7 linked regions of the Canis lupus familiaris genome follow. The protein of the gene in region 2 interacts with the protein of the main gene of each other region in a biochemical or structural test. Links are inferred from orthologs where the notes say so. Each region holds a gene or a part of one and is shown on either strand. Other genes may lie near its edges. The genes, in order: UBE2V1, PRKN, MFN1, PARK7, CCNE1, MTOR and UBE2Z.

Region 1 (3,500 bases), on a different chromosome or scaffold from region 2:
GTAGCCACTCACTAAGCAAGCCCCCTGTGGAAAGAGTTAAACTGAAACGCAGGGTAACCTAAGGTGTTGTAGGTAGAACAGAATATTTTCAATGGAATTTGGTGGCTCATTTGTTTAAGTGTATAATTCAGTGGTATTTAGTGTATTCGCAATGTTGTACACTGGTCCATTCTTAATTTGTTAGAACCTGAAAATCAGTCCGCTAATGAACAAATCTATTGAACAACTGCCCCATTCCGAGTCATTTCCAGGTGCTCTGGAGAGCAAGGAGGAGGGAAGAATAGTTTTCACCCTCAAGAAACCTAACCATTCTTAGGAAAAGAAGAAATGCAGTGAAGGAAGCCATCACCATACAGTGGGCTTTCAGAAACAGCAAGAAATGATCTCCATGAAGAAACGAGTTTTCTATATCAGGTTTTCTTCAGTATTTAATAGATTTATAAATCCTAGTTTTCAGAGATTTTTTAAAAAGATAAAGAAATGAGTAAAAAACAGTAAATTGAATATATATATTTTTAAACCCAAAAAACAAAACCACAGGGTTAAAGATGACTCAAGAAGCAACGTTAAATAGCAAAGCCAGTCATTCACTGTGTGTATTTACGATAGTCCAAGATGAACGGTAGATTGTCCTAACACCTAATGAACATGACCCTCTTCCTTGTTTCAGCCAGGGCCACATCCTATGTCTTTCTCCTTCCCACAGAGTTGGTGCAGAGCCTGTGCACACAGTGAAAAGAATGACTGGCTGCCACCATCTTTGAGCACACACAGGAAAGGTCCTGTTACATTCAGACGGAATCTCCCATGGTCTGAAACAAGTGTCACATTATGAGAATCTATTTCTTCACTCCTACCTCATATTACTACTTAACACTCTGGAAAATTCTATAATGGGAACACATGAAAACTCAAAATCTAAACAGACAGGAGATAATGGAGCATAGGGTTAAGAGTACAGGGTCTAGACTCAGAACCCCTTTGGGAATTATCAGCTATGTGACTTTGGGCAAGTAATTTTACTTCTCTGTTTTGTCACCTGTAAAATTGGATGTGACAACACAATAGTAGCTCTTAACAACAGGTTCTTGTGAGAATTCAATGACATTTCTTGGAGGTTTTACTATGTACACTAAAAAGTTAGCTGGTACTACAAAGCCTGGGAACTCTCACAAATCACAAAGCTCTAAAAGAGAGGTCAATTTTCTCATCCCTGTTGTCTCTGTCTTCTTTGCAAAGGCCTCTGGGTCTCATAGTGCCTGGAAGAGACCAGAGCCAACCAGGCAGGCAATAAGCCTTTGCTGAATGGCCTGATGAATTAGGACATGAGTGTGTGGCAGACCTGGGAAACTGTAAATGAAAACCACAACCATGAAGGCGTTCCAAAGTTTGTTTGGATGCTGTCTTCGGAACGCTGGCTACTGTATCTGGGGCCTTGTTATTTGATAAGCCCAAGAGTCTGTTCTAAACTAGCCGTGAGGGTGTAATGACCTCACACCTCCCTGTCTACATGTTATGTAAATTCACACTATGAGTCTAAACAGGTTTTTGCTTACCATGAGAGGGATTAAACAGCATCAGAGGAGGTTCAAATATATAAACTGAAACTGGTCAAAAAAGAATAGCCACATTTCAGAAAATATACCATTGGTGAGCTTTTTCCGTGATAAGGCTAATATTTCTTAAAAGGAGGCACAGTGAATTTAAGACATTGACATTTATAGCCGTAGCTCGACGCTTACTCTTGGAGGCCCAATTATCATCCCTGTCCATCTTGTAAGTGTCATGTCTTCGTCATCTTCTAGACCCCAGCTAACTGTGCCATCTCCTACTCCTTTCTGGCCTTCTTCCAGTTCTTCCAACAGTCGAAAATTGCGAGGGACTTTTACTCCTAAAATAAATGGAAAGAAATTCAAGATACTAGCAACTCCAGGGGAACCTGTAAGCCTGGATCTAGCTGCTCATTATTACTACGTGGAAATAAAGATGCTAACATGCAAAAAATGGCTCAAAGTTGTCATCCCTCCAACTTGCTTACAGAGCTTCTAGTACCGACCAGCACACCCACACGGAAGGGGCACGTGGTTTTGTTTCAGGTGATGTGACCACTGAACCAAGCCTAGAAGGACCACCACCACCCCCCGGCCCCGCAGCTTTGATAAATTTCAAGAGTTTACATGTCAAAATGTTGATCAGTTTGGGTCCAGAACAGATGAAAACCACCAAAATCGGTATCATGAGGATTAAGTGCCTCAGGAGAGAAGAGGCTACTGCTTTTGTTTCATTCTTATTACACATTTCTGAGGTTAAGGGTGTGTGTGCATTTTGTTGGAATGACACTCAAACTACCTCAGGAGGAACAGCCGCCAGGGCTGCATAAAATAAAAATGGTGTCCTTTTGATCAGCTAAGAGTCAACTGAAGGCACCAAGGATAAAATTTTCAACTATTCAAAACAGTTTCTCTCTTATGAAAAAGCCAAAGGAGGGTGGCTGGTTCCCTGATTTACTTGTTTCTGAAATTCCAAAGCCTGGCAAGTAGCTCACGGAAGGAATCACACAAACACATCTCATAGGTTCAAGCTACTATACCTGAGTTCAGATTGAGGCTTGAGCCATTTCTGGGTGTTTTCCAGAACAGAGCCGAGGCATTGGGGCCAGGTAGGGGACGAGGCTGTGGGAGGGCAGGGAGAGCAATTTTCTTCCTGTGCTTGGGCACCAAGTAACTCTCCCAGGGATGCTCTCCCAACCAATCCTGCCTGCCTCTCCCCTCCTCCCACCTCCCTCCCTGGCATTTGAACTATTACCTCTGGGGGAAAAAACCCCTCAGATTCAGACAAGTTACAAGCTCTCTCTTGCCTTCAATGCTGAGCCCCCAACTGGCCAAACTCCATGAAGCGAGCAGCACTTACCACGTAACCGTGGAGGAAAACCCACTGGAGAGACTCCAGACTGGGAGGTGTTCCCAGTATACCTTGTGTTTTCTAAGGTGGGACTCCCGCTACTATTCATTCAACTGGAGTAAATACCCGAGAATCCACTATAGGTCAGGCACTTTCCTAGGCAATGGGGAATAAGCAGTGAACAAAACAAAAATGCCTGTCCTCATGGAGCTTACCTTCTAGTGGGAAACATAAAATGACAAAACAAAAATACGAACTATATATATATAGGAGGACAGCTGTTGGGAGTTCTGGAGCAGGGAGTAATGGGGGAAGAGCTACAACATTAAATGGAGTGATCACAGAAAGCCTTACTGAGACCAGATGTCATGACTAAGACCTCACATGAAGGAGCATGACCTATGCACAGCTCAGGGGGGTCTTCCAATGAAGAAACAGCAAATGCTAAGACCCTTGGGTAAGACTTTGCCTGGGATGTCAAAGAACAGCAAGATCCTAATTCAGCTAAAACTGAGTCAGTGAGATGGAAGAGCAGTGGGTCGTTAAGGACTCCAACTACTACTGACCTGAGAAGCCACTGGAGTTCTGAACAGAGGAGT
Region 2 (3,139 bases):
GTGCCTCTGCCTCTCTCTCTCTCCCTCTCTGTCTCTCATGAATAAATAATATATATTTATATATATAAAAGATATACATTATATATAATATATAAATATTATAAATATATAAATTTATTTATATTTATATATTTATATATATTTGTATGTATATTTATATATTAATAAAATATTTAACTTATTTATTTATATAGAATTTGTCCTAGATGGGAGTGGTGAGCTCTACCCTCACTCCTTTCTTAATAGATGCCCTAACTTCAGAATGCCCTGGGATTGTGGGTGACATTCCCTTGGAAAGTCCTTTCTTAGACCAGTGTGTTGGGGCGGGAAGGATGTTCTCCAGATGTTTGCCCGTGTCTTTTGTCTGCCTGCAGGAGGATGCATGCACATGAAGTGCCCACAGCCCCAGTGCCAGCTGGAGTGGTGCTGGACCTGCAGCTGTGAGTGGAACCGGACCTGCATGGGGGACCACTGGTTCGACGTGTAGCCCTGCGAGCGGGCGCCCCACCGCCAGCCAACTTGGAAATGTACAGAGTCCCACAATTTGCTGCTCTTTCTCCAAACTCTCTCTCTTTCTCTCCCCCCCTCCGCCACATGCACACACACACACACACAGAGACACGCACGCACCCCTCAAATCCCTTCCCAATCCACAAAAACAAAGTTACAGGAGAAGCTCCTGGATCCCTTCCTTGGTGCTCATGAAAAGCAGCGCGAAGTATTCTCAGGCGTCAGCCCTCAATACACAGACCCCAGAGCGCAGATGGAAAGTGCACTCCACCTTTTGTATGGATTGCCATTCTCCTGTGAATTCCAGTCAGGCTGGATTTAAGGACAGAAAGATTTCTCAGGTTTCATTTCCTGCATTTGACCTTCAGCGAAGATTGGGAAGAGGCCATCAGGGACGAAATAGATTGGAGAGACCGGTTTCGGGGGTTCTCTGTAAAACCGAGGGCAACGGGTTCGACAACCCTATTCCTGATTTTAGGAGCAATGCTCTTATTTAAATTTTCAGAGAGTATCTGTTCCCAAAGAGAACCCCAGGCAATAGTCAAACTCTGTGTTTATCCCTAAGGATTCTACCTTTATATATTGCATCGGTGTAATATCAACTATGCATAAATCAGCTTGTCAACTAGTGAGAAATTATGAAAGTTAATTTGAATGTTGAAATTATAGAAATCAAAACTTCGTGTGCTTTCATTCCATTTAATTATTTGAGACCTCAGAAAGAAATTGTTTTTCTGAAAGTATTACAAAGTCTATAATTTGATTTTAAACCTTCATTTTGCAGCTTGGAAGAACAAGCTAGTATATCTGGCTTCACTGTACATTTAATGGGTAAGGTGCCTATAGAGGAGACGTTTTTGGAAATGGCTTTATAATGATTCTCAACGTTAACAAAAGTGCAGGGTGTTAAGTGCAGAAGTCTTTAAAGCAGGAGCATGGCGAGGGCTGGCAAAATGAAACCAAGACCGATTCTATCCCAGGGGGGTCAGTGCTCTTTCTGCACCTGCTCTGTCCCCCATCTGCATGCCCCAGGGGCTCTGCTCCCTGAATGGGTTCCTCCAAGAGGAGCTCTTCTCTAGAACAGTGGAGTCACACTAGAATATTTCCTCACATTGACATGGATTCAAATGGAGTGTTCACCAAGTTTTCATCTTTTTTTTTTTTTTTAGACATTCACAACACATCAAAAAAAGATGTGTTTACACTATGCAGCAAACCTCATCTTCTTATAGCACAGTGTACAGATGAAAACCTATAACCACCATCTTCTGTTCTCATTGTCTGTCTTTTCGGGGCTTCTCTTTGTAGACATAGCACCAGAAATCCTTGCTGGGGAAGGAGAGGTAAGGACCTTAGAATATTGCCTGAGAATGTCTGTCCCTCTATCCCTAACCATTCTTCTAGGCTCTGTTTAGAAAATCCAGACTCATGTCAGGAAGCCTTAAAGATCATAGCAAGGGAACGGAGAGCCAATATCTGAGCATTACTGACAATCCCAGCAAATAGCTTCTGACACTGACCTGACAGGACAAATCAGATGGCTCCCTGCCATATGGAACACCCACTATTTTATATTCAGTATAACTTTTGGGTTTAGTGATGCTGTCGTGATTGCTTCCCTCCAAACCGGCATGTTGTGTTGGGTGCGTGAAACCCAAACAAGGTTTGCTCTCATGGGTTCAGGCATGATAGAAATTTCTGGGGCTCTCTGCTCCTTTCCTGGTGGTGGTCTTTTTTCTTTTCTTTTCTTTTCTTTTCTTTTCTTTTCTTTTCTTTTCTTTTCTTTTCTTTTCTTTCTTTTCTTTTTTTCTTTTCTTTTCTTTTCTTTTCTTTTCTTTTTTTCTTTTTTCTTTTCTTTTCTTCTCTTTTCTTTCTTTTCTTTTCTTTTTTCAGACTAGAACACTGAAACAAGTTAAGAAAAAAACAGCCTCTGTAAATGAATGGGAATCACAAACCACTATAAATGAACACGTTTGAACATGAAATGTGTAACCAAATGTGAATATATCAAAAGAATAGAAATAAAATCTTTGCAGAAAAATCTTTATTTTTCTCTGAAATGTGTAAAGGAATATTTGACAACTATGTCTAAGGCTGTACTCAAATTATCAATAAAAGCATCAAAAGAGCTTTGGAGTCCATCTCTGAGGGTAGATTTTCAGTAAATGCTCAAAGTGTGGGAGGGAAGCCCAGGACACCTCGCTCCAGGAGCCTCCCTCTTGCCTGAAGGGATCGCCTGGTGAGGCAACAGGCATTTTTATCTAAAAAGCAAACCATTCAATTAAAAAAATCTAACTGTTACTTTCCTGCTTTATCAGCAAACTTTTCTAGTAAATGTTTAAAACAGAAGTTTGAGTCAGGAAAAACTACAAGGATTTTCTCTGTAATGTCATTTCAGAAAAGCTCAGTGACTTTGCATTGCTCTCAACGTGGGTGTGTTGACACTGCATTTCTTTAGAACTGTTTCAGTGGCTGAAATGAGTGACAATGAGCCTGTGTTTGAGCAATCTGGAATGGAACATTCTTGGAGAGCTCCTATCCATAGATTAGGAAAGCCACACACCATGAGGGCCCATTGGTGCCAAACACCACAGGAAATACCCTAAAGAAACACAAAGTTTCTAGGAAT
Region 3 (3,979 bases), on a different chromosome or scaffold from region 2:
GGAAAGCTTGTTTTTATAACCCTGTATTTCTATCAAATCATCTTCAGTAGCTATTTGATCAAGTTCTGGATTCCTGTATGTTGCTACAAAATTAAAATGGTGTTAGAAAAAGTGATAAAAAATGAGTATTAAATTGATTATACAATAGAATATCTAAGACTATGCACGTATTTTGGCTTTGCTCTATATTCACATGGCCATTTGAAAAGTAAAAATGCCACAGTTATCTGAATATTTGGTAAAAGGTGAATGCCTTGTTCCATAAGGGGGTCGTAAGAATCCTGCCCCCAAAATTTCAAAATTATTAAAAAATTACAGGGGCTATCCTCAAGCTAAAAATCTGGTGAGGTACGGTTAGGAAGGACAAGAAAAAATGTTTGACTCTACTAACCTACCGAATGTTTCCCCACTGTCACTTTAGAAGTTTACAGAATCCCTCCCTTTTCACTGTACCATTAATAGTCATGTGATATTAAGAACCAGAAAAGATTTCAAGTTGCCTCCAAAGTAGTATTTCCCCAGTAAGATATTCCTCACCAACACAGTCTGAGCAGTTACACTCCCTTTTGCCCTTTCCCCACCACATTCCAGCCTCATTTGAGAAGATAAGATAGGTCTGCGATCTAAGCTGACTGCTGACTCGGGGAGGAGATAATGTATAATGGCTTAAATGTGGGCTGCCTGATTTTTTAGTCCGGGCATTAACTGATCACAAGCATGATGCTTAAATTTTCTGTGCCTTGGTTTCACCTTTAAAATAACTGCAATTAAAATCTGTCCCAGCGTGGATATGAGGATTACATGCATAATTAACGAAGTGCTTAGTGCTATCGTTCATACAACCATTTATTTCTTAGGTTATTAATACCATTTAGTCTTCCTCCGTCGGAAGGCAGAAATGGGTTTTATTTGTTAGGGCATCTCTCCTGGAATATACTGCAATGCCTTATATACTGAACGCGTTACACTGAATGCATAAGTTCAGTAACTACGGGTGAAAGGATAAAGCCCCTGCATATATTTTCAACCTTATTATTTTTAAGACTTGGAGAAACTAACCTTCAACAAAATGGGATCCTTCAGTAACAAACTCCAGTAACTGGTCAAAGATTGCAGTAATTGCCCTCTTAGCCAGCACAAAGTGCTTCAGTGGAGAAGCAGATTCTGCCATTGTTACTGGGGGAAGAAAATTAAAGTTAGAAAAGCACGAATTAGGGGTGCCTGGGTGGCACAGATGGTTGGGCATCTGACTCTTGGTTCCCACTCAGGTTCTGATTTCAGGGTCCTGAAATCCAGCCCGGAGTCAGGCTCCATGCTCAGGGGGAAATCTGCTTAAGATTCTTCCTCTTGGGGGCAGCCCAGGTGGCTGAGCGGTTTAGCGCCGCCTTCCGCCCAGGGCGTGATCCTGGAGACCCAGGGTGGAGTCCCACGTCGGGCTCCCTGCATGGAGCCTGCTTCTTCTGCCTGTGTCTCTGTGTCTCCCATGAATAAATAAAATCTTAAAAAGAAAAAAAAAAAAAAAGATTCTTCCTCTCCCTGCCCTTAAAATTAAAAAAAAAAAAAGTTGAAAAAAGAAAAGCACAAGTTAGACTGTATGATAAAGACATGCAAATTAATGACAGCTGCCTGCCAAATTAACTCCCCAGTGAAATAAACTTAAACGGCCAACATACTTTCAGATAATTGTTTTTTGAGAAGTGTTTTAGACGGGCAATTAAAGACAACTTTTCCGGTGGTACTCCATTAAAATAAGTCAACTCTATTGGACAAAATCCTGTTTGCAATTTCTACTTTATCTTCCTTTGGTGAAGATGAAACTCATCGTGGCAAACTGCGACAGCACAGGACGCTTAAGAACTGGGTCAGCGAGCAGAAGCAAGTTCGCCAAGAAGTTTCTCAACCTGGAGCTCTAGTGGGTGGAGGTGCATACAGAGACTGAGGAAATAAAGTTCCAGGATCATCATGTTAATACCGAAGTTTAAAAAGGAAAGTAGTTCTCATCCGAACAAATAAGCAGACAAGGCTTGAGGCGAGAATTAACGCTTCCAGCCAAAGTGCCAAGAACTTTAAAGAATGTTAAGTTTAGGGGGAAAAAATTATTTTCTGGCAACTTCTCATGGAAAAGACACCCCCCCCCCCAAAAAAAAAAAAACGATTACACGCCAGTCTACACCCGGTGCGTACGCATGTGGCATGGAGCGGAGCGGTCATTAAAAAAGGCCGAGCCTTTCGGAGTGTCAGGAAAGGACTCGGTGAACGAGCCGGGTGGGAAGAGCAGGGTGAGGGCAAGGGCCCGGCTGGACCGCGTGTGGGCACCTACCCACCTTGGGGACAGGCCTCCGCCGCCCGGCGCCGGAGCCCCCCCGCAGAGCCAGGGACCCGACCCACCGCCGCCCCGGCTGCGCCAGCCCCGCCGCACAGGCTCCTCAGCCTCGGGGCTCCGGCCTCGCGGGCTCCGCGGGCTCGACCCCGCCGCCGGCCGGGCTCGCACACCGGCTCGGAGCTCCTTTCCCGGAGCGCCGCGGCGGCGCCTCGTCACAGAACTCCTGCGCACGACTGCCCCCCCGCCCCCGCCCCCGGCCGCACGAAGGTCACCCCGAGCGAAGCGAACCGGCCCGCGGCCGACGCAGCGAGCACTCACACCGTCCCGGCTCCGACCCGTCACCCGGCAACCGCAGGCCAGCCTCAGCCTTCTGGCCTCCTCATCCTCCCGGGAGACGCTGGGAAGCAGGGAGGAGGTGGGAGGAGCGCCAAGGGGGCGGTCACTTCCGGTTTCTTCTCCGCCCCGAGCTTGTTTGGCTCCGTGGCCGGAAGTGCGTCTACGCCGACCTCCATTTTTCTTAAGGGCAGGAGGCCGGTTGACCCTCGGGAAAGCTACTGGGATGCGGTTGCGTCCATCGCTTACGTCTGCCTCCCGTCTCTTCGCCCATCACAGTCTCCAGACGTTTGCCTGGTTTAGGCATAGTTAGCTCCCACTTTAGTGAGAGAGATCTTAAAAGGAGGTGGGGTGAAGTGGGATGAGGTGGGGTTAGGGCTGCCAGACAAAAGGGATTTCTGTTTGCCCCACGATCCCCAGTAAAGGAGAACCTTTTGGCCGCTCCACTATCTTCTGTTGTGCGATTGGCTTCCTGGGATTGGAGTACAGCCCTGTGTGTGCGCGCGTGTGCGCTCGTTGAATTACTTTAGAGCGAGACTTAGGAAAATGATACATTGTTGAGTGTTCTTCGAACTTTATACTTCTAGGACCTGTGAATCTTGCTAACCTGCGCATTCTGATTCTTTGGGTCGGAGATGAGGCCTGAGAGCGTGCATTTCTAGCATCCTTGAAGAGCTGCTGCTGCTGCTGTTCTGTACGTGGCTTAATTAATAGAGAGTCTGGAGATTTCATTCCAGAGCTCATAAGTGCGATACAGTTTAGCAAGAGAAGTCACTTCATCTTTCTGACCCTCAGGCCCTTCATCTATCAAACTGGCATTCTAATGATACCTACGTTATGGGTTGTTGTGAAAATTAAACGGGTCAATAGCGTGTGAAGTGCTTATAACACTGTTGGGTATACAGTTAGAGCTACATTAAAGAAATACTGATGTTCTTTCTATTAGAATCGATGAATATCAAGAAAACAAAAGAAATAAGAGATCGTTTCGCATGTGCTTTGTACTCTAAAAAGGAAAAAATGACAATGGGGACAGACTATCTGAAGAAAAATGAGAACTGAACCACATAGGGTGATCTTTTCTGGGGAGATATTTCTTTGATTTTTCTCAGGAAGCCAATCCTTGGACTATGTGGAGGAAGAATGCCCAACACAGACGGAACAGGAAGTCTAAAGGCCTATAGGAAGGAGAGTGGTATGGTGGATGATAAAAAGGCCAGCGTATTTGGGATGCAGGGAGGGAGAGAAAATGTGGGAAGATTAGAGAGGTAGGTAGGTGTAGAGTCATATAAGCCAAGATCAAAAGTTTGAATTTTATTGTAA
Region 4 (4,203 bases), on a different chromosome or scaffold from region 2:
AATGAAGTTATAACAGGAGGCAAAAGGGCCTTTGAGGCCAGATGAACACTGATGAAAGTGTCCCACCACCAAGCACAGGCAGCAGGAACTGCCAGCTTCCTTGAATACAGAGTCCTTGACTTCCCTGGGCTTATTATAGTGGGGAAGACATCCAAGGAAAGTAACTTCCTTAAAATAAGTCTGTGCTAACAGCCTGAAATATAATCAAAAGACATTTCAAGAACCTGATAGAGAAGCCATAGGAAGGAATAATTCCATGTATGGAGAACAAACCTCTTTTTTTGCATCTTCCAGACTGGCATCAGGACAAATGATGACGTCTCGGCTACACTGTACTGGGTCTTTCCCAGCCAGACCCGCAACGGTGACTTTAATCTAAGAGAAAGACGTCATCACATTTAACATTGAAACATAAATTTAGAGTAACATTTTCACAACTGCTGTTTTAAAATAACTTGGCAGGAAATACTGCAATGAAACCATGCTGACTTTATGCTACTAAGTTAGCTAAATATATTTAATAACTAGGTCTGTCCCAGTTTGTCTGGGACAGTCCTGATTTACAGATACTATCCTGGTCCCCTGCCTGGTTAGTGTCCTTTCTCCCACAAGCTTTCTGGTTTGGGCCAACATCCTGCTAATAATCCATCTTGCAAAGTTACTGTTGCTATTTAAATCTCATGGTATTTCCTTAAAATAGAAAGACAAGTTAGAACAATGAAATACTACTTTAGCTTGCAAAAAGTTAATAAAACCAAGAGCTAGTCCTGGAAAAATGGGGATTGTCCTACACTGCTGGTGGGCCCACACGCTGGTACTCTGGGGAGTCACTGGACAAAATCTGGTAATGCTAACTATGGGCTGTCCTTTGGCCAAGCAATTCCATTTTTGGGCATAAAAACCAGGAAAACCTCCCACACATTTGCATAAGGAAACCTGTACAAGAATATTAGAGTATTGCAATGTCCTGAAACACCCTAACAAAAGAATGGAGAGACAGCAGCATATTCATGCAACGTAACAATAAGCAGCAATTTTAAATTAAAAAACCAGATCTAGAGGTGTCTTCATTTACGAGAACCAGAGAGATGAAGGGCTAACAGACTCTGGGGCCAGACTGCTGGGGTCTAAGTACTGGCTCTTCTCCTCACTAAGACAACAACATGGACACTTCATGTAGTGTCCCTGTGCCTTAGTTTCTTCAACTGTACAACGAGGACGGTCAATAACTCATAAGGTTGTTATAGGACTTAAGCAAGTTCAGATGCTTAGATGAGCATCATCTAGCATCAGTCAATACTACTCGTGTTCACTAGGGATATATATGTACATATTATATATATATATTATATATATAGAGAGAGAGAGAGAGAAATAGATGTAACTGTAACTGTAAAATGTAATTGTAGTGTAACACTACTCTGAAGACATCCATGGGATGGATACACATTAATGAGAGAACAGAGTTATCCCTGCCGTTGAAGGGGAATAGTATCCAGGAAATTTACAAAGAGGGCTGTGCAATGCTTTATTTCTTTTTAAAGCATCTGTTCCTCAAGAAGAGGAATATTTACAAGAAATTTGGCAAAATGTTAACAAGTATTAAATGCGGACAATAGACAGGCATTTATTGTTATATAGTCTCTGCATTTTTGTGTTTGAAATATTTTATAAAGTACACTGAATATTATTAAAAATGCCTTCAAAACCCAAAAATGTTTGAGAAGGGGGAGGGCTGGAAAATGTTGGGAGGACTTACTCCAGCTCGTCTCATGACATCTACAGGAATGACTGTCTCCATCTCCTCTGCTCCTTTGGCCAGGATGACCAGAGCTCTTTTCGAAGCCATTTTTATGTTGTATTTTTAAAAGACTTAATTGGGAGAAGAAAAAAAAAAAAAACAAGATTTTCAAAACACTTGCATGGCAACCCTAAGATAGTCAAAAACCTCAAGTTTAAAAAAAATCTCAAGTTCAGGAACATTTTTAAGCAAAGTGACCAAGTGCCTCCTAAGGAAAAGATCCTGAGAGACAAAACAGTACGTGAAAAAAAGCATTTTAAGGTTAACAGTGGTTTACACAGAATTTCAACTGCTGTTATTTTTGAGATGAAAACACAGCAGGGTTGCTAACACGTGTCAGTACCGTTTGGATTTTCTCTGACCATGTTTTTTATTTTGTTTTGTTTTAACTCAATATACAAAACTTACTGCAACCAGTACTTTCTAAAACACACACACGTGGGTCTTGCATTTCACACGATGCGGGGAGATAAGCCTTATTCTCGGAAGCACTATTTTCAGAGAAACGTCCAAACTTAAATTTCATGGGCAAAAAGCTACACACAGTCTGCGATTTTTGGAGGGGATTTTCTTTGAAGTTCCAATAACTGCACAAAACCCTCTTGAAAGTTAACAGTGTTAAATATTTCACCATATATATATTTTTAAATGATGTCGAAAGGTGGGAATTCCCCCAGTAAATTCAACGCAACGGGACCCTCATTGCTCTTGGCTCTTCGGTAAACGGCAGCTGCCAAGCGGGGCTCCAATAGTTTGCAGCCTGTTCTTTCTGGGGAGTCCGCTGTGCGCGCAACACAGACGCTAAGGAAACCCCGTCAGCAAACAGAGCCCTGACGAGTTACAAACTGGGGGGACGCCACGCACACAACCCCGGAGGGCCCGAGGCCGCCCGCCCGCAGGCGCGGCGTGACTGCGACCTGCGGCGCCCCCTTCCGAAGCCCGCTCCGGGCTGCCCGTGGCCCCCTCGCCGCCCGCAGCTCCCCCCGCAGCGACCCGAACCTCGCCTCTGCCCACAGCCCCGGCACCTCGGCCCCGTCGGCAGCAACTCCGCGCCGGAGACTACCGAACCCAAACCGGCCTAAACGGGGACGTACGTGTGTACGCACGCACGCACGCCCCCCGAGCGCGAGCCCTCGGCGCCGCACTGCGCAGACGCACGCCGCCCGGCTTCTGGTTCGGCCCCGCCCCTCCCCCGGTACTGCGCAGACGCCCGTCGCGCAGACCCCTCCTCGTTCTCCCTTCGTCCCCAGGCCCTGCACTGCGCAGACGCACATCGCCCGGCTTCTCTTTCTGCTCGTTCGTTCCCCTAACCACGCCCCCCTCGGTACTGCGCAGACGCACGCCGCCCAGGCCCCGCCTCCTCCCCAGCTGCGCACGGCGGAGGCTGGTGGCGCTCGCTCACGTGCGTCACGTCCTCCCGGACCCACGTGGGTTAGCATCCTCCCTGGACAGCTGGGGATGTTTCCATTTGGTGCACCCGGCACCACGAGAATCCCGCGTGTTCGCGCAGCCTCACGAACGCTCCCGTCCCCCGTCGGCGCGGTCCGGCCCGCCGCTGGCGCCCACGGGCGTTAACCCGCCTGTGACCGCAGCCTGCCCGCGCGCGGTCCCCTCGGGAGCTGCGGCGCTTTGCTGCCAACAGACGTTTCCGTGGAGTTGCACCTTCACGCTTCTCCCGCACTCTCGGCGTCCCTATCCGGGAGCGCCTTCTCGTTTCCCCCCGACCTGTTAGGACTTCAAGGTTTTCCCCATCCTGGGTCCCCACGGTGGGCGCCCGGGCCTCGGGATCCTGCGCGGCTCCCAGCACGGGTTTGCGTGCGGTGATTGCCCGTGTGATGGTTTCTCAAAGTTGTTTTTTTCCCTAACATCCCAGCGCTGCTGCTGCTGCTGCACCCACAGGCTTAGAGCACTGCTGAGCACCCGGACCTGATAAGTACTTGGTGACATTTAAGTCAGAATCCCACACTTTGTTCTTAAAAGTTTGCATTGAATATTGATACTTTTACCCATTTCAAAAACCAAAGTCGGGCATCCCGGGCGGCTCAGCGGTTCAGCGCCGCCTTCAGCCCAGGGCCTGATCCTGGAGGCCGGGGATCGAGTCCCACGTCGGGCTCCCTGCATGGAGCCTGCTTCTCCCTCTGCCTGTGTCTCTGCCTCTCTCTGTGTGTGTCTTTCAGGAATAAATAAATCTTAAAAAAACAAAAACAAACAAAAAAAAAACCAAAGTGCTGAAAGTTAACGTTGAACCGATGGACTCCTTCCTATCCTTGTCCCCACTCTCTTCCACAATCCCCGCTCCCTGACTCCCTGCGGGTAACTTTATAGTCGTTTCCGGAGCATCTTTCCAGGATTTCCTCACGCAAGCACCAGCAAATACTTTGTTTTACATCTTTTGTATAGAA
Region 5 (3,500 bases), about 72 Mb from region 2:
CCAACTAGGTTAGCAGTGGGCAGCACGTCGCTGTGTTGGGCACTGAGCAACAGCTGTGGCAGCTGGTTCTGGCAGAGTGAAGGGCTTTGAAGCAGTGGGTGTGCAGGAATAGTTGTCGTCCCTGCACGTAGACCCTAGAAATTAGCAATTCTGGGGAGATCGACCTAATATCGAACAAGGGGTTGATGATTTCTTTCTCATTAGATGAAGAAATACTTTCCTTTAGGGAAGGAAATAAGACATTCCTTTCTTTTCTTTTCTTCTCCTTGAAAAAACAAAAAGCAAACAAACTTTAAGCAGGTTGATTTTTATGAGCCGTGGTAAAATGGCTCTCCACTTTGTGAAACTCGGGATTGCTTATTTTCCCAGCTGTTTTGGGAATTGAAATTTCTGAGAGTGAAGCGAAGGCATCCATATCCACTTGTTGGAGTAGTTTGTTCTCGAGGAGGACCGGAGCAGTGCTAGGGTGCCTAAAATCGGGCTGTGGGCCTGTCCCCAAAGTGTGCACATTGATAGCCGTGGTATTTAAATACTCCTATCATTTCCCACTAACGAGAAGGAATTTTCCTGGTTGTTCAGAGATTAAGGACAACAGGTTTCTGTACGTTTTGTAGAGCAGATAGCTTGAAGATTGCCCATCTATCTATGGAGCACTCGTTCTGGTTTTCCCCTGTGTAGATTCATGAAGCTAGAAGTTTGGGGTAACACAATTATCACACGGAATTTTTGTCAGGAGTTCTAGTTCAGCCCAGTACAGTGGCCTGGAGCTACTTGTGGCGCATTGTGCTAAACTCCTTATAACTCCTTCCTCAGGACACAGAGAACCTTTGAGTGTTACCTTAGGCCTTTCCTAATCAAAAGACTACCCTTTTATCTGAAATCCATTCAGCATATCCGTTTTGTTGTTTAACTTTTTGCAGGAGACCCACCTTTTTAATTGAAGTGAAATCCTGGACTTTGTAGTAGTTACTTCTCAGCACCTGATTCTACATAGGTAGTTCTGTTCTTAGTTAAAAGTGGCATGAGGGGTCGGGGGTGTTTAGAAATAGTCAAAATTGGTGTCTTGCTCTTATCCCGGTCCTTCCTAAAGTCAGATGGATCTGGCCTCTTTGAAACCCAGCGTACACTCGAGACTTCGACTTCATTATTGTGCCTCACGTGCTGGATCCTAAAGGGTCCAGGTTTCCGAACCACTTGTGGCTTGTGGGTCATCCAGTCTGTCTATGCACTGTGGTTTAGGAACTGCTGCCATTTTATCCTCAAAGGCTGCTCTCAGCCCTTTCAGCCATCTGGCTGTAGAGGGTGGCACCCAGCTTCTGCCTTCACAGCTAGAATTCATTCTCGAATGAAGAGCAGCTTGAAGCAGTTGTAATGTGACTCGTTTTGAGTCAAGGAAATGCTACCAGCACATGAGACTAGAGCTGGAAGGGGAGGTTGCCCTTCTGGAACAGCTGTTGGCAGGAGTTGTCATGGTTAATTTGCATGCCCAATTCTTTGCACCCTGGGTGGAGAAGAGCTTTATCCTGCTTTGCTCTCCTCAGCACACTGAAAGTGCTCTGGCCGCCTCTGAAAGTGGCCGGTGTGCTGTGCGCGCCCCACTACCGTATCCTCCAGGCAGCACCTGGAGCCCACATCCCATGCTCATTTCTAATTGTCCCATTTCTTCTCTGGTCAGCCTTAATGAACTGTCTGCTTTAAAACAAAAGGCCAAGAGTCTCAGACTTCCACAGGACTTCCGTGCTGGCGGGATTGTTACTTGCCGCACTGTCCACAAAACCACTCTTACGACTCAAAAAAAAAAAAAAAAAAAAAAAAAAACAGAGCAGCTTGACAAAGAAAACTTTGTAAATGGCAAAAGGACCTTCTTATTTTCCAAATACTGAAAATCGAATAAAATTAAGTACCTAGAATCTTTGAAAGGAAAGCATATTGTTTGCGTTTTTAATGATGGTTTATTCCCTTATCAGTTCTTGGATCCTCATTCCATGCAAGACTTTGGGGGCAGGATTCAAAGGTCTTCAGGGGTATCTGGCTTCTATCTCCACGGACTTCTTAGTATATCCTGTGACCATTCCTGGATTTGGTTTTAACTAGGCAGATATTCTTTTTGTTTTGTTTTGAGTTAAGGAAAACAAAAGGTCCTCGTTATGTAATATATTAGGTAGTCTTGCAACCAGGAGATGTCACATTTGATGGTTTTACGTCTTAAGATGGGGACACTAAATACAGATGGTAATTTACATTTTTGGTCTTTACGCTTGTGAATGTGCGGTGCGCATGTAAATATACTTTTATTGGAATTCTTTCACTTTTAAGAAGTTTTGGTAGATTAGTTGTACCTGTTAAAAAAAAACAAATCTTTGAGTTGTGACCAAATAATCCCACAGCATACCTCAGAGGTTATGCCCAGTTTCTTACCGAGCTGCAGGTGGATTTGTATAGGTGGTGGTGGTGTCGGTTTTTGTACTCCTAAGAGCTGTTTGCATTTTGTCTTAATCCCTCCTGGGTCCATCTTCCTGCTCAGGTACTGGTTTGACGGCGACAGTGTGGAGGATAAAATGCTACTGACTTTGTAGTCGTCTTAGATACTTACTGCATAGACTCCTAAGCCAGTGGCAAGTGAAACGAAAGCTTGGAGTCCTTACTGTGGCTTTTACTTACTCGTTCCATCTTCATCCTCATTTAGGCCAGAATAGGTATTTAGGCCTGGAGATTGCTCTCTAGTGTGAAGATATTTTCTGTTTTACTGGCTGTTCTACAAATCATGAATGTACACATAGCTGGTTCCTATCAAACATTTAAGAATGTGTGTTTTCTTCTACAGCCTTGGGACAATAATCCCGCATGTGAAAACCCCTGCTCCTTGATTCCCACACCTGACAAAGAAGAGGATGAGCCAGCATACCCAAGTTCCGTGTGTGGACCGCAGAGCTTCATGCCCTCCAGAGCCTCGCCGCTGCCTCTACTGAAGTAAGTTGCCTGCCACGTGCCTTCCAGGTCTTTTGCTCCTTGTGCACAATCTCACCAAGTCAGTGTGGACGCATACTGACGCCTACTTCTTGTCTTTCGCTTGGTTTTGTTTCTTGTAGCTGGGCAAATAGAGACGAGGTCTGGAAAATTATGCTAAATAAGGAAAAGACATACTTACGGGATAAGCACTTTATGCAGCGGCACCCCCTCCTGCAGCCCAAGATGCGAGCAATTCTTCTGGATTGGTTGATGGAGGTGAGCTTGAGTCTTCCTGTCGACTGGAAGCATTGACCACTTCTAGAACCTTTGACGACCTCTTTGTGTGTCTTATACCCCATTGACACTTTTCTGTGTCTCCAAAGTACCACTCTTTTGCTTGGGTTCTTCCGTAGAAGAATTTCTGAAGTCTCTTTACCTCTTAGATATTTTGAGGTTGGCATTTAATTTTTTTTCTTCCAAGTTCAAATAATTACAAAAGTTCTCTTTTCCACTGAACTGTAAATATTGATATTTGGTCTTTAATTAAATTG
Region 6 (3,500 bases), on a different chromosome or scaffold from region 2:
CAGCCAAGCCAAGCCTAGAACGCCGGTCTCCAATGCCACAGTCAGAGCTGTCTTTGTGGGACAAGCTTCTTGGTTAGGTTTTCTTGGCAGCAGCAATTGGCACAGGGCTTATGACACTGAAGGAGAGAGAACCAGCCCTTTCTAAATCAGTATCACTATGTTGCTGCTTCTCCGATACCCACTTTTCTATATTTTAATATCTCTGCGAACTCTTACAATTGTTCATAAGAAAGCAGTAAGTTATAGCTTAACTGTATCATATTTTCATTTTTTTTTTAAAGATTTTATTTATTTGGGCAGCCCCAGTGGCGCAGCAGTTTAGCGCCGCCTGCAGCCCAGGGCGTGATCCTGGAGACCCTGGATCAAGTCCCACGTCAGGCTCCCTGCATGGAGCCTGCCTTCTCCCTCTGCCTGTGTCTCTGCCTCTCTCTCTCTCTCTCTCTCTGCCTATCATAAATAAATAAATCTTTAAAAAAAGAAAAAAGAAAGAAATCACTGGAGACCAATGCGACTGTGACACTCGCTCTGTGGCAAGGGCCCCCACTTCAGCCAGGTAATTCTGTCTGTGAATGTGCTTTTGCAGGTGGATGGGATCGCGGCATGTGCTCACCCGATACCACTGAGGCTTCTGCATCTCCTTCGGCTCACGCTGGGTGGTGAGGATCAAACAGGCACGAAGGGCAGCCACAGCTCCCTCACGGATGGCCTGTTTGGGGTCCCATACAGCCACAAAAATGTTGTCAAAGAAGGGTTGCACTTGCTGGAAGAAGAAGGTGGGGACGCTGACAGCCAGCTCACGGAGAACTAGAACCTGGGAGGAAAAAGCACACGGAGGACCCTCATCTGTATCAGAGAGTTTAGCTCTATCCCAATATGGCCTCTTGTTGTCCCGGGGCGTGTATATGTATCAGGAAAAGAGCACACTTGTCCACCCTTCCAGCTAGGAATCTCTGAGGACCTAGGAGTAAAGCAAAATTGATCAAACATCTGTGTTCGTTACACTGGAGTATTTATAAACACGGGATGCTTGTCATCTTAGGACATAAGCTCTGGAAGGCAGATGTGTTTTAGACTTTGTATGCTGCCCTGCTGACAGCCGAAAAGCATCGCCAGAACACGGCAGTATCCAACAAACATTTATTGAATGAATGTTCAATATTTAATCTTGCTTTCGTGTTCATCTGACAGTGGAAGAAACTAGAGGTCAGAGGTTGTTTCAAGCTTCAGACTTAGGAAGGACAAAGCTGACTTGAAGCAGACTTCAGGTGTCTATCGCTCCCCCAGTACTGGGACCCCTCCTTGTGGGGCTGGCTCCTAAAGAGGGGGCCCACAGCAAAGATCCAAATGACGCTCTGATCCTCAGCACACACATTCCCAGATCCTTTCCCTTAAGGACAGACTCTCCCTCATCTTGCAGCCTGAAAGTCTGTCCCTCAAACCAGCCTTTTCCAGGGATGAACCTCAAAAAGCAGTGGGGATATTGGGGTTCCTGGGTGGCTCGGGTGACTAAGTCTCTCTTGATCTCATCTCAGGTCTTGATCTCAGGGTCGTGGGTTCAAGCCTACAATGGGCTCCATATTGGGTGTGGAGCCTACTTAAAAACAAAACAAAAAAACCAAAGCAGTAGAGATGCACTACAAGAAGAGGATAAGAGGCTCCTACATCCCCAAGTGAAAAACAGCCAATGGGGAAAAAGGAAGTTTGGGTTAGGTACCAACCAATCAACAAATGCCTAAAAAACAGACAAAAAGGGCGCCTGGGTGGTGCAGTTGATTAAGCATCAGGCTCTTGGTTTCGGCTCAGGTGCTGATCTCAGGGTCCTACGGCTGAGCCCTGCCACTGGCTCCACACTCAGCACAGAGTTGACTTAAGCCTTTTCTCATTCTCCCTCCAGCAAGCCTCCTACGCTCACACATATTCTCTCTCTCTCTCTCTCAAATCAATAAATAAATTTAAACAAATAAGTAAAAAAATAAATAAGGAAGGCCTGAAAGGAGGCAGGCCACTGCTTCCACTGGAGGAACTGAAGGCCCTGCTGCCCCGCGCCTCCCCTCCTCCTCGTCCTTCTGTATTCCTTCAGTACCGTACAGAGACCTTGACGAAGACACTGATGGGAAAGTACAGAGCGGACAGTTGTCTGGGGCTTTGGAAGCCTTTTGGCTCGCGGCTCTTTCCCTTGCCTATGGCTGAGGTGTGCCTTCTGTTTAGGAGGCAATTTTGATTCTAGAAAATTAGACATCAAGGTAAGCGCTGCACTTAGGGCTGCCTCTCAAGCAACAAAAGAGAACTTAAAGTTTGCCCTTCAGGTTCGGAGCTCAGGGCAAAAAGAGAAAGGGATTCAGGACGAAACCAAAGGCCCCTGAGAAGCACAGTGCCTTTGCCTGGAGTGTCCCCTCCTTTGTCTGCCTTTCAGCGACCTGAGCCATTGTGTGGAGGACCCCGACACGGCGCCACGGCTCCCCAGCCAGCTGTGCCCCCCACACCCTCACCCCCGCCACAGGCACTCACAGCTGCGTGTCTCCGGCCCTCGTTGCGGTCGGCGCCCAGCCACTCCAAGGCTCGCTTCACCTCAAACTCCACATACTCAGCCGTAAAAGTGTCCCCTGCCATGGCAAGGCGGCCAATGGCCTTGGATGCCATCTCCATTACAACTGGGTCATTAGAGGGGAGGAGGTTCCGAAGATAGTTAGCGAATCTGCCAATCCGAGTGGCATTCCCACCTTCCACTCCTATGAGGCTGGCTGGTTAAGAGAGGAAGGCAAAAGGTGAGGATAGGCACATCCTGTCTAGGAGCGTGCCCTGCCCTGAAAGGAAGGCTGGCAAATGACCCCTTCCTTCTACCCTGAGCACAGAAGGCAACTCCCAGATGGGAAGGATGCAGATAATTTTCACTTAAAAGCAACAGATTTGATATTTGTGCCAGAACTACTTACGTAAAGCAAAATAACCTCATTTTGGTACTTAAAATTTGTTTTCCCAAGAAGAAAAAGGAAGCAAACTAAGAATGAATAAGAATTCACCAGACCAGTCCCTGGGACTTGAAAACCACATGCTTTTTATCACTGTTCCCACCTCTCCCTTTCCATTGGTGAGCCCGGCTGGCTATACCAGACTGCTCTACAGAGACACCAGAGCCTGCAACAAGCAACACAGGGTAGCAGAAAGAAAGCTGGCTTTGAGTCTCAGCGCAGCCACTCTGTGGCCCTAGAAAAGCTGTGTCACAGTTCTGAGACTCTGTATCTGAAAATACCAGCTTTGCCCACATCCCAGGACTGTTGTTAGAATTAATATCTGAATAAGCACGCTGAAAGCCACAAGCCTCCTTAAGAAATTCCTTAAATAGGCAAGAATGAAGCATCGGTATGCAGCAGACACAGGTGCAGTGGACACAAAGGTGACCCACCCTTTATTCTCAGCTGTAACTGTCAGCAGAGACTCTGTCCTTACCTATGGCCAAGATGCCACCTTTCCTTTCATTGGCATCTGAGCTGGAAACCAGT
Region 7 (3,500 bases), on a different chromosome or scaffold from region 2:
CACTCAGGGATCCCCTAACTGGTTGTTTTTGTGGGGTTTTTTTGTTTTGTTTTAAGATTTTATTTATTTATTCATGAGAGACACAGAGAGAGAGAGGCAGAGACATAGGCGGAGGGAGAAGCAGGCTCCGTACAGGGAGCCCGATGTGGGACTCAATCCCAGAACCCCAGGATCATGTCCCGAGCCAAAGGCAGAGGCTCAACCACTGAGCCACCCAGGCATCCCTAACTGGTTGCTTTTTTTGTTTGTTTGTTTTGTTTTAAAGATTTATTTATTTATTTATTCATTCAGAGAGAGAGAGACAGGCAGAGACACAGGCAAAGGGAGAAGTGGGCTCCATGCAGGGAGCCTGATGAGGGACTCGATCCCAGGTCTCCAGGATCACGCCCCGGACTGCAGGCGGCGCCAAACCGCTGCGCCACCGGGGCTGCCCAACTGGTTGCTTTTGAATGTCCTTTCTACTCCAAAGACCATTCTTGTCTTGTCCTCCATACACAAACACAGAGAAGGCTGAAATTCCCCTGGCATAGATGCCTAGGCCTCTCTGTCATTGAGCGCTCTACCCTCAGAAGTGAATTTTTCACTTAAACTAATGTTGGGAAGAAATCAAGATTTCCTAAATCTAATATTGTTTAAATGAAAACTCTTCCATGGTTTCAGATTTCTTACGGTAAAAGTTCTGACTTTGTAGTGTAGATATGTGTATTTTGTTTTGAATAAGTTTCCCTTAAATTGATTTTTTTCTTTTTTTTTTTTTTTTTTTTGTGGTTAGAAATATTTTTCCTGGGACATCTTGTCCAGTCAAGTATCAGTGTTAATATGCTAGTCCCTAGGGTCCCAGAATTGATGTCCTGTTGATGCCATTTGAGCTTGCTATTCCAAATGCCTGAGGGCTGAAAGATATTCCTGGGTGCCACCAAGGGCAGAGTAGGGACTGAAGCATTGGATTGCTGGTCCTTTTTCGTCTTGCTGCTTAAATTCTGAGCAGACTTAAGTGGCTAGCAGCCTTTGTAGGAGAAGAAATATAACGGGGTCAGTTCAAGTTCTCTTCCTTTCAGGAGGGGAAAGCTTGTTCAGTGATCCTGGTTGGAGGACAAAAGTTGAGTGTTCTAAGTGCTGCCGATTTTTTTTCTTTTTAAGTTAACCAACAGTGTTGGGAAGATTTCTGGTGATGGTCTAAGGGCTCCAAATGGACCCTGAGTTTTCCCCGTTTTTTGTTTTTTGTTTTTTTTTTTGGTATCTTTGACACAGCTGACTGCTGCCTGAGCTACATCCTCCCACAGTAGGCTTGCTTCTTTGTGGAGGCAACAGAGACCCTAGGCCTCCATCACAACCCTCAGCTCTGCACTGTAAACTGGCACTGTGGCCGCCAATCCCTTTGCTCTTTTCCGTTCATCTTACTCCCCTTTGTGCCTCCTAAATGGAGGGTGGGGTTGCCTCAGACACATGATTAACCTAGGCAAATCCAAACAGACATGCTCAGTAAAAGTATATATTAGATTCTTAAAACTAAACGGGCTAGGATAATATTTTACAGTTGCATATTTTAGTTGGTGCAGTGGTGTTCCATGTATATTTGTTACATGTAACACTGATCAGGGAAGTCTTAAAAAAAAAAAAAAAAAACCTATGCTGTCACAGGGAGTTTTAAGGGACATTCAGGGTGATTTTTGACTACATTCAGTTTTCATCTTGGGCTCTAACTTTAGACGTTAACCACTGAGTAAGATGCCACTCCACCGTAATGGGATTTCTTAAAATTCCAAACATATTTATTAGTATGAGTGAGTACAGGCTGTTCATTCCGCATGGTGAGGATATGGAATGATATACTAGATGAAGGTCCTGCTGCTGGTGTGGGTAGCAAGTGGAAGCCAGGAGGGGTTGGGATGGGACATCACCTCACAATTTTGAGATGGGGTTTTATTTTGCAGATTCATGCATTGATCACAGGCCCATTTGACACTCCTTATGAAGGGGGTTTCTTCCTGTTCGTGTTTCGGTGTCCGCCCGACTATCCCATCCACCCACCTCGGGTCAAACTGATGACAACGGGCAATAACACAGTGAGGTTTAACCCCAACTTCTACCGCAATGGGAAAGTCTGCTTGAGTATTCTAGGGTAAGAGGAGACTTCTAAGTGGCCAAGTTGGTTGTTAGCAAATAATTACTCTAGGCCAGCCTTTATCAACCGGGGTTCCTCATCTGAACCACAGAACCCAGAAAATGATTGGAGTGACTGTTTCCTCAATTTTCCCCAGGATGGTACGTGATTAGTATCATTCTAAGTGCAAAAGAGAGAAGTTCATGTATGACCTACAATGGATGCCTTAGTGAAGTGGTTCTCCCTGACCAGCAACAGCACTTGGAGAGCTTGTAGCCCTACAGATTCTGAGGGTCCACCCTAGACGTACTGTATCAGAAACTCTAGGGGAGGGCTTAGCAATCTGTGTTTTACAAGCTCTCCCGGTGATTTCTGGCGCATACTTCAGCTTGAGAACCACTCCCTTAGGGCATCAGGGCTTCATTCTCTCCTGAACAGGTTGAGAAAGGCTGCAGATCTGTGCCATTTAAGATTGTGGGTGTCTTGTTTCTGAGTCTCTCAATGAGTGGCTTTGGAGGCGGCGGTGGTGATGAAGATGATCATGATATTTTAACAACTGAATGAAAAACGTCTAAGGTTGGAAATCATATCAGATAAGAAATCCAAGTTTCAAGTACATTTTGTTTCTGGGTGCTACTGAGATTTTGCTTCATGCGGTTCTCACTCGCTCCCTTTTAACTGCCTTTGGGGGCTAAAAATTCAGAATGGAAACAGTGTCTTCTGGATTGGCGGTGTTTGTGTGGTCTGAGTTTCCCTGGGGCAGAGGACAAGTGCAGGTTGAAGTTGGGAGAGTTGCCAGAACTGGTGATACCTTTTTCTTTCCTGTCCAGCATATTTCCAGGTGTGTGTGGGGAAAGGCAGCTGACCCAAACTGGAGACAGGAGTTATTTTATTTATTTATATTTTTAATCTCTCAGACCCAGGGACATGTTCTGTGGTGGTGGCAGTGAGGAAGTCCTTCAAAGGAGGTTGTCCTTAAAGCGGTCCTTTATGTTGTTAGGGTTTTTATCTGGTAGGATAGTGGTAGACATAGCCCACAGTGGTGAGGATATTCACTTGTTGTTTCTACATGACATTTGTTTGTGATAGCGTTTTTGTACTAGGTTCTCCATTGGGCCAGTATAAAACGATTTTGAGCAAACATCAGCTCACAGTAGAACCAGGGAAAGTAAGACGGCGGGGTAGGAGTAGCAGAAGTGTTTTGGGTGGAAAATAAGCTACCCTGAAATTGAACATTAACCACAAGAACTCACAGGATAGAAAATTCCCATGTGTTCCTAGTTGACTCTTCCATCAGCCTCAGTCCTTTCCTTCCTACTTAGAAAAAAAGATTGGGGCTGCCTGACAAAAGAAATGTAATGAAAATTTACATTGTTGGCTTGACTCCCGGAGTATG

What was found.
Region 1: the proteins of PRKN (region 2) and UBE2V1 form a complex in vitro, tested with the Homo sapiens proteins (4 studies listed by BioGRID). The link is inferred for Canis lupus familiaris from reciprocal best matches to the Homo sapiens genes PRKN and UBE2V1.
Region 3: of the proteins of PRKN (region 2) and MFN1, one has a biochemical effect on the other in vitro, tested with the Homo sapiens proteins (3 studies listed by BioGRID). The link is inferred for Canis lupus familiaris from reciprocal best matches to the Homo sapiens genes PRKN and MFN1.
Region 4: the proteins of PRKN (region 2) and PARK7 form a complex in vitro, tested with the Homo sapiens proteins (2 studies listed by BioGRID, with this or other methods). The link is inferred for Canis lupus familiaris from reciprocal best matches to the Homo sapiens genes PRKN and PARK7.
Region 5: of the proteins of PRKN (region 2) and CCNE1, one has a biochemical effect on the other in vitro, tested with the Homo sapiens proteins (2 studies listed by BioGRID). The link is inferred for Canis lupus familiaris from reciprocal best matches to the Homo sapiens genes PRKN and CCNE1.
Region 6: of the proteins of PRKN (region 2) and MTOR, one has a biochemical effect on the other in vitro, tested with the Homo sapiens proteins (2 studies listed by BioGRID). The link is inferred for Canis lupus familiaris from reciprocal best matches to the Homo sapiens genes PRKN and MTOR.
Region 7: the proteins of PRKN (region 2) and UBE2Z form a complex in vitro, tested with the Homo sapiens proteins (2 studies listed by BioGRID). The link is inferred for Canis lupus familiaris from reciprocal best matches to the Homo sapiens genes PRKN and UBE2Z.

Annotation. Positions count from the first base shown.
Region 1 is NC_049245.1:37,205,139-37,208,638, forward strand, and holds part of UBE2V1 (ubiquitin-conjugating enzyme E2 variant 1), read right to left. Parts: intron 1,892-3,500; coding exon 1,743-1,891; intron 1-1,742. UniProt on the Homo sapiens protein: Has no ubiquitin ligase activity on its own. The UBE2V1-UBE2N heterodimer catalyzes the synthesis of non-canonical poly-ubiquitin chains that are linked through Lys-63.
Region 2 is NC_049222.1:50,440,298-50,443,436, reverse strand, and holds the end of PRKN (E3 ubiquitin-protein ligase parkin), read left to right. Parts: intron 1-374; coding exon 375-487; 3' UTR 488-2,639; downstream 2,640-3,139. UniProt on the Homo sapiens protein: Functions within a multiprotein E3 ubiquitin ligase complex, catalyzing the covalent attachment of ubiquitin moieties onto substrate proteins. Substrates include SYT11 and VDAC1.
Region 3 is NC_049255.1:12,955,818-12,959,796, reverse strand, and holds the start of MFN1 (mitofusin-1), read right to left. Parts: upstream 2,801-3,979; 5' UTR 2,642-2,800; intron 2,344-2,641; exon of another isoform or gene 2,325-2,343; intron 1,921-2,324; exon of another isoform or gene 1,674-1,920; intron 1,177-1,673; 5' UTR 1,172-1,176; coding exon 1,060-1,171; intron 84-1,059; coding exon 1-83. UniProt on the Homo sapiens protein: Mitochondrial outer membrane GTPase that mediates mitochondrial clustering and fusion. Membrane clustering requires GTPase activity. It may involve a major rearrangement of the coiled coil domains.
Region 4 is NC_049226.1:62,058,891-62,063,093, reverse strand, and holds the start of PARK7 (Parkinson disease protein 7), read right to left. Parts: upstream 2,801-4,203; intron 1,873-2,800; 5' UTR 1,850-1,872; coding exon 1,760-1,849; intron 376-1,759; coding exon 274-375; intron 1-273. UniProt on the Homo sapiens protein: Multifunctional protein with controversial molecular function which plays an important role in cell protection against oxidative stress and cell death acting as oxidative stress sensor and redox-sensitive chaperone and protease.
Region 5 is NC_049222.1:122,573,046-122,576,545, reverse strand, and holds part of CCNE1 (G1/S-specific cyclin-E1), read left to right. Parts: intron 1-2,824; coding exon 2,825-2,970; intron 2,971-3,089; coding exon 3,090-3,225; intron 3,226-3,500. UniProt on the Homo sapiens protein: Essential for the control of the cell cycle at the G1/S (start) transition.
Region 6 is NC_049223.1:84,296,674-84,300,173, reverse strand, and holds part of MTOR (serine/threonine-protein kinase mTOR), read right to left. Parts: coding exon 3,448-3,500; intron 2,742-3,447; coding exon 2,509-2,741; intron 812-2,508; coding exon 611-811; intron 1-610. UniProt on the Homo sapiens protein: Serine/threonine protein kinase which is a central regulator of cellular metabolism, growth and survival in response to hormones, growth factors, nutrients, energy and stress signals.
Region 7 is NC_049230.1:25,087,709-25,091,208, forward strand, and holds part of UBE2Z (ubiquitin-conjugating enzyme E2 Z), read left to right. Parts: intron 1-1,934; coding exon 1,935-2,122; intron 2,123-3,500. UniProt on the Homo sapiens protein: Catalyzes the covalent attachment of ubiquitin to other proteins. Specific substrate for UBA6, not charged with ubiquitin by UBE1. May be involved in apoptosis regulation.